Linked DNA regions of Nothobranchius furzeri. The protein of the gene in region 1 purifies or fractionates together with the protein of each later gene. This does not show direct contact. Links are inferred from orthologs where the notes say so. Each region holds a gene or a part of one and is shown in the gene's direction. Other genes may lie near its edges. The genes, in order: pip4k2aa, ahcyl1 and stk11.

Region 1 (3,655 bases):
ACCAATTTAATTCACGATCTGGTCCTTTCTGTCCTCTCTGCAGATGAGGGCGCTTGGTTCTAATATTGTGAAGCGAATGAGTGTGCAGCCTTGGTATTTTTGTCTCCCTTTCATTAGAAACGCTAGAACTTTAGATGTAGCTCACCTGCTCAGGGTTGTAGAAAATAAATGGACTTAGTGGTTTCCTTGCTTGTCTGAGGCTGAGATCCTTCCCCTTTAGAGATTCACCACCACTGTGGCAACTTTACGGCAGGAAAGAGAATAATTATGAAAAACATCACTCAGAGCACCTTTTAATAAAGTATGTATAGTCTTGCATATAAGCCCTCCCCGTGCACTTTGAATTGAGCACCGCTCAGCATTAGCTTACGTACAGATGTGGAGCATGCACACACGTTGGTGGGCGCACCTAGACTGATTCAGAGTTGGTGACATTTCTTATTAACATATGTTTAAAAATCGTGAAAAACAACATAACAAAAATAATTGCAAATGTTTTAATTGTCCGGATAGAGATGCACATTTACAAGCGAGAGGCATTGCTTCCAGCAAAAATCACAGACGTATGGGAGCTTAAAGGGGCCACATCATGGAAAATCCACTGTTTGGAGCTTTTTACTTTTTAATATTATTTCCTCATGAAAAAAACTCAAACGCGTTTTTGGCTGCATTCATGCATGTTCCTGTCTCAGCTGCATATTTTGAGTTTTACTTTGAAAATCCTGTAAAGCCTCAGTGGAAACTAGTCTCGCCATGAGGCGCAGCTAGCTGCCCTATGGGAAACTAAGAGTTTTATTTCCAAGTTGAAATTTAGGCTGATGAAAATAACTCGTCTTTAAGATAAATCACATCTCAATAGTGCCAACGGTGATATTTAATATTGGCCTACATTTGCTTCCAATGGTTTAAAATGACATGATATTGAACCTTTAAGGTGCAGTACATTGTTTCACCTCTAGATGGTGTCCTCTGAGAAAAAACTTCTGATATCTGCTTTAATTTTCAACATTGGAATTATTTTATAGTTTAAAATCGTGCCAAAGAGCAAACTTACACATGTATTTACACAAAATCAGGCTGTTATACTTGATGATCGATTTATCGCCCTTTCCTAACCCTTCTTTAAAAAAAAGGCAGGGAAAAAAGATTTATGCTCTGTTACTTTTGCTACACTTTGCCTTCCAACTTCCTTCCTCTTTCCTTTCTTCTCTCCTCTCCCTTACTCCCCCCTTTTTCTAGCAGCCTCCCCCATCAGAGGATGTGCCCCCGCGGCCCAAATCTGGTAACGTTCAGCAAAGGCTGCAAACTCTGCGGATTGCCACGCGCTTTTACTGCGCCATGAAACACGTAAGAGATGTAAGAGAACCAGGGCTCATATCAGGCATGATCTATTAAAAACACTCTTCATTTTATTGCAACATACACAGATTTCTCTTTATTTTGCTTATTTATTTTTTGCAAATCAACTTTTTTTGTTTCCACGTTTTCTCCAGAAACTGTTTTGCACACATTTCATTCATTTCCAGTCACCTATTTGCTCAGGTTATCAGTTAAAGGGGTTTATTTATTTATTTGTTTTTTTTTTTGGAGCAGCATTATGATCTGTCTTTTCTGTTTTTACGAACAGTAGTGTTATAAATGCTGCCATCACTGTTGATTCTGCACTTTTGTAGGTGTCTAAAAGGACGTGAACACAATTAAAACATGTATCTGTGAGTTGTTGTGAAACTGACCTGCTATGAAGGGTGTTTCATCTTCCTGCCTCAGATAAATACTTCTGTTTTTCTGTTTTGAATCAGTGAAGTACATCATTTGTTGTTCTAATCAGCAGAGATGGAGACTTCTGTTCACTCTGCCTCATGATGCTTCTTTTCCGTCACATTTTAAGTCTCATCTTCCAGTCATAGTTAAACATCCCATATTTACTGAGAACTGGAGGTCTATGTCTCTGTATACATGTGCTCAAGTCTGTTTGGTGGGTTTGTGCAAAGATCTGTTCTTGGTGTGTGTGTGTGAGTGAGTGTGTGTCCCGTCTGAGCTGAAGTTGTGTTGCCGCTCTCCTCCCGCTGCCATAGAAACATTGTAGCTAAACTGCAGCTGTTGCCCTGTTACCTCATTTCCTGCTCTTTGTTTATCCCCTCAGCGCTTCAGAACCAGGTCCCCGTCCCCTCCTACATAGCATCTCTGTCCCTTATAGGCTGCAGGCCCTCCTGCAGCAGCATCGTTAAATAGAAATCCAACTTCATGGACGTTAAGTCTGTTCCTCACTGGGTTTGGTACGGAAGCCTTTTGCCGTGCGATGAAATAAAAATACGGGAGCAGAATCTTGCAATAATGAGAACATTTCTTGTTAAAATGTGATAAGATTTTCTCTTTAACAAGAAACTCTCATAACGACATACAAACACAGTTTTAATGAGAATCTTTCACTTAATATATTTAATCTCAATACGGTTAAACTGGATTCTTTTGTGGCGTTCTACATAGAATGAACGAGGTAGTTATCCCAGTTCTTGGTGTTTGACATTTAGGAGGTGCAGCAGCAGCGTATGGAGGAAAACCGCCAAACAGCAGAGCTTAAATCAACAAAATACACTCACTAGCGGTAAAATCCACCATTTCTGCCACAAACACAGCGTTGACAAGGCAACATACCAGTAGCTTTTCGTGCCGATAGGTTGCGTTTAAGTTAAAGTGGGGGACACCTTGATCAAAGACAAAAAGGCATCTTGTCCCTCTGTTCCTTAGTAACGACATTCAAACATGCTGCAAGACTTGACAGTTATAAACGCGTATTACATTCATGTTATTACATGACATTTTCTTAGTAAAATGTAGGGATGGGTACCTTTGACATTTGAATCGATTCGGTACGAATTCCCGGTACCTAGGAATCGATACCGGTACTTAACAGTACCGATTTGATACTTTTGAGTGTTTATTATTTTAATTCTCTTTTATAATTAAATATATATTTTTGTCAATATATAACAATATTTGATAAATATCACGATAAATAACATTCAACTGTTTGTATTTTAACATCGTCCGTGTAGTTTTATAAGCTGATAATTAAACTGAAGCAAACATCTTTACTGTGAACTAAATTTACTGTGTATCTTCATTCCTTTTGCCGTCTTTTTTCATTTGATTTTTCCTACTGGGAAGTTAGAATTTCCAAGGAGAAAGCGAACACACCATTAGCTGACAACAATGGAAGCTAACATATCAAGCTAACGTTATCTTAAACAGTTTATTTAACTGCTGGAGCAGATTTAAACGATGATGCCTCACACTTAGATTGTTGTCACTGGTTTCATCTTCACCCAATCACCCGTTGCATTTAGTAAAGTGAAGCCAAATTTAGAGCGCGTTTATGTTCTTCTAGTCGGAAATTCTGAGTTTCGAGGAGAAAGCGAACGCACCATTAGTGAAACAGAAGCTAACATATCAAGCTAACGTTATCTTAAACATTTTATTTGCCTACCGGAGCAGATTAAGATGAGGATGTCTCATTTAGATCGTTGTCGCTGGTTTCATCATCACCCAGTTACCCATCACATTTAGAGAAGTGGACCCAAGCTTTAGCGTGCGTTCTTTCTACCATGCTGCTCTGTTTACAACTGGCTCGCAGTGAGCGATAACATAACGCTCT
Region 2 (2,550 bases), on another chromosome or scaffold:
TTCCGATCCTCTCTTGTGTGAGAGCACACAATCTCTCTCTCTCTCTCTCTCTCTTTCTCTCAGTCGCTGACTGAGCGAGCGGAGCGTGCCGCGCGACAACCCGCTCAATTAACATAATTCACCGCCCAAATCCAACAGAACCTATCGGGCTGACTCGGTTCGGTCTCAGGTTATAACTCCAGTGCTCAGCCCTGCAGTACCACATAAAGGCAGAACAAAGTTTCCTACCCCGTAAATGTGGAGAACACCGCTCTGACAGATGTGGATGCTGCACTGATGCCGCCATTAAAATAACAAAACCACATTCCACTATAACTGATTATGGCTCCTCTTCTATGATGCAGAATCGTTTATGCCTGCATCTCATGCATTGATTATTTGATTATTTTCCTCAGCTCTATCTATCCTACACATCCCGGTCAGCCGTCGGGGTGGGGGGTGCACGCAGGGTTTGGGGGCCACAAAGAGAGGGCTCGCGGGCTGGACGTGGCCCGTGGGCCGCCATTTGAGGACCACTGCCATAACATGTCTGATTTTGTGAAAAAGCTTGATAAAATGTGTTTTTTAGTAGGTAAACTCCTCCCTCAGTAGAAATGAATCCACTGGGGGCAAATGGAGACCCATCTAAGATGGCGGTCGACCACTACGGCAGCTCTAATAGGCAGTGCCAGTCCATGGGGCATATATGTGTTTATGTCTGTAGGTTAACACATAAACACATTTCTAGTATTTTTTGAACTGCATACCACCTGCTGCCTTTCATGCCAAAATGATGCAGTTGTAGCTGTTTTAAGTCTTGAGAATATTATTATTCACCAAATCACTAAATATCAACTGCTAGCACTCAGAGCATGCAGTGGGAGTGACTCCCAGCTGCTAACACATCAGATTTGAGCCCAGAATCTGTATGTTTGACCAAGTTAAAGCCATTTTGTTTTTCAGAATGTTGATCAGCTTTGGTGGCCATCTTGAATTAGGGCTGACTCCACTAGTGAATCAGATCAAGGCTGATTATTGGATTAAATTAGTTTTAGATTATTATAGGTAATGTTTGTTGAAGTGTAGTATTTTTTAGATGTTTATATATATTTTTCTATCCACAGGCAAGTCTCCGCAGCCCTGAACTGACCTGGGAGAGGGTTCGCTCTCAGGTTGACCACATCATCTGGCCAGATGGAAAGAGGGTGATCCTGCTGGCAGAGGTAAACTCTCACAAAGTTTTTTTTTTCATCACCGTTGGTGAGCAACACAAAATAAAAGTTATTTTATTCCAGAAAAGCAAAATCCACAATCGTGTGTCTTCTGGACCATTTTCAGGGTCGCCTCTTAAACCTGAGCTGTTCTACGGTGCCTACTTTTGTTTTGTCCATCACTGCTACAACTCAGGTAAGAGGTCTGATCCTGCAGGAAGGAACGGGGTTTTTAAAGACATTGTGATGATTTGTAGCCATTATACGCTCTGTGTTGTCCGTAGGCCCTGGCTTTGATCGAGCTGTACAACGCTCCAGAAGGAAGATACAAACAAGATGTTTATCTTCTGCCCAAGAAAATGGGTAAGAGTTGGAGCTGCTGCTCACTGCTTCCACTTTTGAACATTACTTGAGAAAAGCACCACTCAAAGATCATATGTGTTACAATCCGTCTCTGTGATCAGACGAGTATGTGGCAAGTCTGCACCTTCCCAACTTTGACGCCCACCTGACGGAGCTTTCTGACGAGCAGGCCAAGTACATGGGGCTCAACAAGAATGGACCTTTCAAACCTAATTATTACAGGTCGGTGTCACTCTGATGCATCTTTTCACTGCTTTTTTAAAATTTATTACACAATGTTTGTGCAAAAAGCTGACGACTTTGTATTTTGTTCTCAGGTATTAGAGAGGACGTCTGGAACTCGGTGAAGGGTTCAAAGTTGGCACGGGATGAACAGAGATGTCTATTTTACTTTCAAAAATGCTACAAAACGGAGAAGTTATTTTACTTAAGCCGAATGTAACTTATTAATAGCACCTCAAAAAGTAGTTCAACATTTCAGAGTAATGCATATAGAAAGAATTTAATATATAACCAATTAACATTTTGTCTTGTCTTTGAAGAGCGGCCTGCTTGCATGTGTTGATGCGGATTAGTTTTGTTCCTTGATCGCAAAGCTGCCGATTCATTCGTTTACTCTACTTACGCACAGTGCCAAATTATGGCCGTATTTATATATAGTGGCATTGAGATTTGACAGGCACATTCCTTGAGCTGGAGTTTAGGCTGAGCCACAACAAACTTGAGTTATATGAATATTTTATATGCATGAAATTATCTCATTGAATGAATGGTGTGTGTGCTTACAGCCTCTAGTTATTTAAACAAAGTGACTGGATTTTAATATGATTTAATACCTTACCTGTGGAGCTGCAGATCACTACTGAAAGGATCATAAAACTCTGTGGTAACAAGAGATTTAGATGGATTAATGTGTGTTTTGTTTAAAGATAGCTGGCCTTCCATATTCCCCCCAAAAGGAATGTGGGAAACCTCCAAGGACAAGAGCCACAGGAGC
Region 3 (4,453 bases), on another chromosome or scaffold:
TATGACGCTTTCAGAAAGAGGATGATGCTTGCTTACCGCTTCAGGCCCAACCCGCTGGTAACATTTTTTCTTAACGTTGCTCTAATTTGCATTTGCACTCATTTGAAACTTCATATAGGATCTCGTTATCATGCAGCCACACATTTTTAATTATAGGAATTTTTTGTGTGTGGACAGAGTTTAAGTGTCCTTTGATACTATATTTGAATCTGCTGTGTTATCTTCCTGCAGAACAATCCCCGGAGGCCGTATTACTGATACAGAGGACCACTTCTAAAGCTCGTTTCTGCATCTGCCTCTTGTCTGCTCGCGCATTAATTGAACGTTTTAGCTGTGGAGATGTTTGAGTCCTACGTGTCAGAGAAGTTATTGAAATCCAAAAATTAACAACAGATTAGCTACATTTTATGTTTACCACAAAACAAAAATAACACAGCTCACGCTTTTGTTGCATTTCAGCTTTATAATGTAACGTGTTACAGTTTATAAAAACTTGTATTTAGTTTCTGTGATGATTTTACTCTCATCATTTTGCATCCTCAGAAATCTTTGCCCTCCTGACTATATAACAGTTTTGCATAAGAACACACTCTTCTGTGTAATTTGTGCATCTAGTGATGTTTTCACTGTGCTGTAATTATTGCTTCCTCTCATTGTATGCTGCAGTGATGACAATAAAAAAGATATCTTACTGAAATCTGAAATTGTTACCCAAGTCCTAACAAATGCTGACTTTAGAAAAATTTAACCTAAATCTGTTTTTGTCTTTTTCTCGTTGGTATTTTTTCATTTCTTCATTGCCGTAAAGCAGAGACGATTGGACTGGAGCGACCTGTGAGGAGGATAACAGACCAGTGAAATCAGACCTTCAGTTTGCCATTCCTTAGAGAGGTTTACATGGGATAAATATAACCCTGGAGACCCCAGCTAAGCAAGAGACACCTTTTGGCCACACCAGGAACATCTGAGGTTGATAAAGTTAAAAACATCAGTTGTAGGGGTGGCGCAAACTCACTGGGTTTTAAAGTGTTACAAAATGCAGGTTTCAATAGATACGTTTTGTTTCATTTATTTTGCCTAAATAGTTCCTAAAAATTGTCGATGAGATTTTTTGGGAGTTTGAAATCTTTAAAAATACTTTAATTTTACCATTTTATAGGTTTTGAACGTGCTTGAGTTTTTAATAAGTGCTTTCAAGTAGGAGTGCACTCAATAAATGACTGGTGATGCCAATCGCCCAACATTCAGCTGATTTGAGTCCCAAAGAGTAGATCCCCCCCTTTTAAACAGCAATAAAGTGCAAACAGATTTTCCATGCCAAATTTTTTACTTCTGGTCTTGAAATAAAATAAATTCTGGTAATTATAGTTCTTTAAGATAATGCAGATTATGCCAAAATTGATATTAGCAGGTCAGACCTGTGCAGAAATCAGCATCAGCCCTCGAAACACGAATCGGTGCATTTCTATTTGACTCTAGTTTTAGCACAATAACATTTACTTTTGCAAATAAAACAACGATTAACAAAAGGTGCTTTAATTTTAAAGGTGAAATGAACGAATTGTGGGGGAGTTTTGCAGAATTTATAAAAAATAAAATATAAAGCTGCGCCATATTATACTAAGACTGTCCTATTAGTTTTTAACTATCATTTTTCACTTATGCTTTAGTGAGTTATGAAGAAGGTCACAGATTTGAAAAAATGTTATGAATTTTTCAAAACAAAGCCCTGATCGTTTTATATTAATACCATAAATTCACATAGTTGAAACTGCAAAGGAACAAAAATGAAAGTTAGATAATTTAGTAATTTTTTACAATATACGAAAATAATGTAAATTTAAAAAAATCTGCGGAAACAACAAAATATGCAAAAGATGTTATTTTCCTGTAATTTTCTTTTTGATTATTTTTATTTTCGTCTAACTTACATTGCACTCATTTTTTAAATAAAAATAATGTATTCTTTACTGTGCGTTTTTAGGGAATTAATGACGTAAAAATAAAGCAGACAGGTCAGTTTTGTTGTTGCTCCAGAAGGGGAGGGGTGGGGAGGAGGACTTTGATTTGACGCAGTAACGTGTTGGGGCTGCTAGGGGGGGAGGTAAACAAGATGGCGACAACCTGAGAGGCAAGAGTAGCACGAATAGTGAGGAAATTTTTACTGATATTGTGTTATACTGAAGCGGAACGTTTGATTAATCGAGGACGAACACGTTAAAAGTATTTAAGCCTCACAAAGAAATAACCTTCATAAAGATTAAGGTAAGAGCCGGTTACTGTAGCTGCTTAGCTTGCTAGCTAGCAAATTGCATTGGAATCTGAGCGTCTCCGTTAGCCCGTGTTAGCTGGATCCTTCTGGTGAAATTTAAAGCTCGTTACGTTTTAGAACTGAGTTTGGTTTTATTATCAGACAAACACACTGCGATATAGTTGGATAATATCGCGCGTCTTCTTGTGAAGTTGGTTAATTGTAACGTCTGATGAAGCTTCTGCACATCATTCATCGTTAGCTACAGTTGTGTGACGACGTTTCGCTAGTCTCCCCGCACCCCCTCAGTTGGTCACCGGCCAAACAAGTTACTTTGGTTTTAAACTTTTCATGATTGTTCTAAAGGGGCACGCCGAATAAGTTGAAGTTAATACTGGAAAGCTAATTCATTCAGTCAAATTTTCTGCTAACCGCTAGCTCTAAGGTGTTCACACATTTTTGTTGTTTTTAGTTGTTTCCCCACGTTACTGTTAAACTACGGCTTATTAAGAAATACCCGAGGTTTTTTGTCCACATTTGAGCCCTTATACAAGAGGATTCTAGCTGTAATTCCTCAACCCTTTCTCAAGATGTGAATACCACCTATTTGAAAGCTCAGTTTTTGCATTTTAAGCCCAAACTCTTAAGCAAGTCCCTCAAATATGTTGTGATCAGCCAATTAAGTAGAAAACTTAACAAAACTGTGTCACAGTACTTTCTGACAAAGTTGTTTTTTTTGTTTGTATTAATGAAAAGGATCATGTTCCTGTGTCTGATCACAAGATGTTTACCCAGGTGTTTAAATATGTGTAAATAGATTTTTACTCAAATGTAATTTTGCAAAACAATCAGTGATTGTTCTGATAATTAAATATTTTTTTTTGCCCTTTTTCCTCAGACATCAGGCTGTAGAAACTGTAGTGACATGGAGGACACCTGAGGGCAGTTCAGCGTGGTGGACAGTTCAGTCGATCCCCTGGAGCCTGACTGACACCAGGGATTGGATTGATACTGCTGCATGCTTTGGTTGTCAATTTATGCCTGGATCCAATCCAACTATAAACACTTATGTGTCGGGTGGAAACTATGACATCCAGCAAGGACCTTTGACAGAAATGCTGTGCTGCAAGGCCTTGAAACAAGACTGGTTTCCTTTACCTAAAGTTGTATGGTATTAAACTATAAAACGATAGCCTAGACCGTCGGAAAAGAAAATAATAGTGTAGAATCCTTTTTTTTCCCATTTGAAGTTCTGTTTAGCTGCACTCATCAAAGACGTAGCTCATAATGCACAGTCTAAAGCACTAAATTAGCACTTGAGCCAATAGGTTCTGCACCTCTTTTAGTTTCTGTCTAAAATGAGCCCTAATTTTTACAGGTTTTAGATTTCTCTCTTACCTTTCGTCAGTTCTCAGGCTTTATTTCTCTCCTTCGCATTTTCCGCATTTTAAAACTTCTCTAATGGAAACCCTCGGTTCAGTGCTGAAAGGCTAACAGCAGATTACACCCCAGCAGCAATCATAGCCAGTTTTCAAACGTTTATTTTTTGCACGTAAGGCTTAGGCTGTGGTTGTAGAACCACCAGTCATGAGTGCCAGGGAGCTGCAGCATCTTGATTATCTAAATGAAAACGAACTTATGGAGATGGACACTTTCATTCACCGCATTGACTCTACAGAGGTGATCTATCAGCCACGGAGGAAGAGGGCAAAGCTGATTGGAAAGTATCTGATGGGAGATCTGCTAGGGGAAGGATCTTATGGCAAAGTGAAAGAAATGCTGGACTCGGAAACACTTTGTCGCAGGGCTGTGAAGATACTGAAGAAGAAAAAGCTTAGGAGGATTCCCAACGGAGAAGCCAATGTGAAAAAGTAAGTTGTTTTTATTTTTTTGTAAGCCTGTTATAGATTGTCATTCTTGGAAAAAAAAAAACTTGCAGCGCCGTAGCATCAGACCTACTACAAAGCTGGGTTATTAATTATTTTGAGTTAACACAGTTAAAAAATTAGGCTAACTTCTCTTCATATTGGTTTTTAAAACAGCACAACAATACAAACAACACTTCATGCTCAAATCATCACTTGAAAACATGATAATTTATTAATAGCTGCCTGGCAGACAACTAGCTTTATCACTGTTTTCCTGCTTGCTAGAATTGTTGTTTTAATCCCACAGCGCAAAAACATTTATTTCTGTGTCGCT

What was found.
Region 2: the proteins of pip4k2aa (region 1) and ahcyl1 purify together in Homo sapiens (co-immunoprecipitation; 3 studies listed by BioGRID and IntAct, counting the BioPlex papers as one, with this or other methods). This does not show direct contact. The link is inferred for Nothobranchius furzeri from reciprocal best matches to the Homo sapiens genes PIP4K2A and AHCYL1.
Region 3: the proteins of pip4k2aa (region 1) and stk11 purify together in Homo sapiens (affinity purification with mass spectrometry; 3 studies listed by BioGRID and IntAct, counting the BioPlex papers as one, with this or other methods). This does not show direct contact. The link is inferred for Nothobranchius furzeri from reciprocal best matches to the Homo sapiens genes PIP4K2A and STK11.

Annotation. Positions count from the first base shown.
Region 1 is NC_091747.1:55,186,584-55,190,238, reverse strand, and holds part of pip4k2aa (phosphatidylinositol 5-phosphate 4-kinase type-2 alpha), read left to right. Parts: intron 1-1,239; coding exon 1,240-1,356; intron 1,357-3,655. UniProt on the Homo sapiens protein: Catalyzes the phosphorylation of phosphatidylinositol 5-phosphate (PtdIns5P) on the fourth hydroxyl of the myo-inositol ring, to form phosphatidylinositol 4,5-bisphosphate (PtdIns(4,5)P2). Has both ATP- and GTP-dependent kinase activities.
Region 2 is NC_091755.1:28,356,570-28,359,119, reverse strand, and holds the end of ahcyl1 (S-adenosylhomocysteine hydrolase-like protein 1), read left to right. Parts: intron 1-1,103; coding exon 1,104-1,202; intron 1,203-1,317; coding exon 1,318-1,386; intron 1,387-1,474; coding exon 1,475-1,553; intron 1,554-1,654; coding exon 1,655-1,775; intron 1,776-1,870; coding exon 1,871-1,877; 3' UTR 1,878-2,044; downstream 2,045-2,550. UniProt on the Homo sapiens protein: Multifaceted cellular regulator which coordinates several essential cellular functions including regulation of epithelial HCO3(-) and fluid secretion, mRNA processing and DNA replication.
Region 3 is NC_091751.1:56,737,803-56,742,255, reverse strand, and holds the start of stk11 (serine/threonine-protein kinase STK11), read left to right. Parts: upstream 1-1,507; 5' UTR 1,508-2,265; intron 2,266-3,149; 5' UTR 3,150-3,838; coding exon 3,839-4,122; intron 4,123-4,453. Other genes in the region: sugp1 (SURP and G-patch domain-containing protein 1), read left to right, coding at 1-57, 232-258. UniProt on the Homo sapiens protein: Tumor suppressor serine/threonine-protein kinase that controls the activity of AMP-activated protein kinase (AMPK) family members, thereby playing a role in various processes such as cell metabolism, cell polarity, apoptosis and DNA damage response.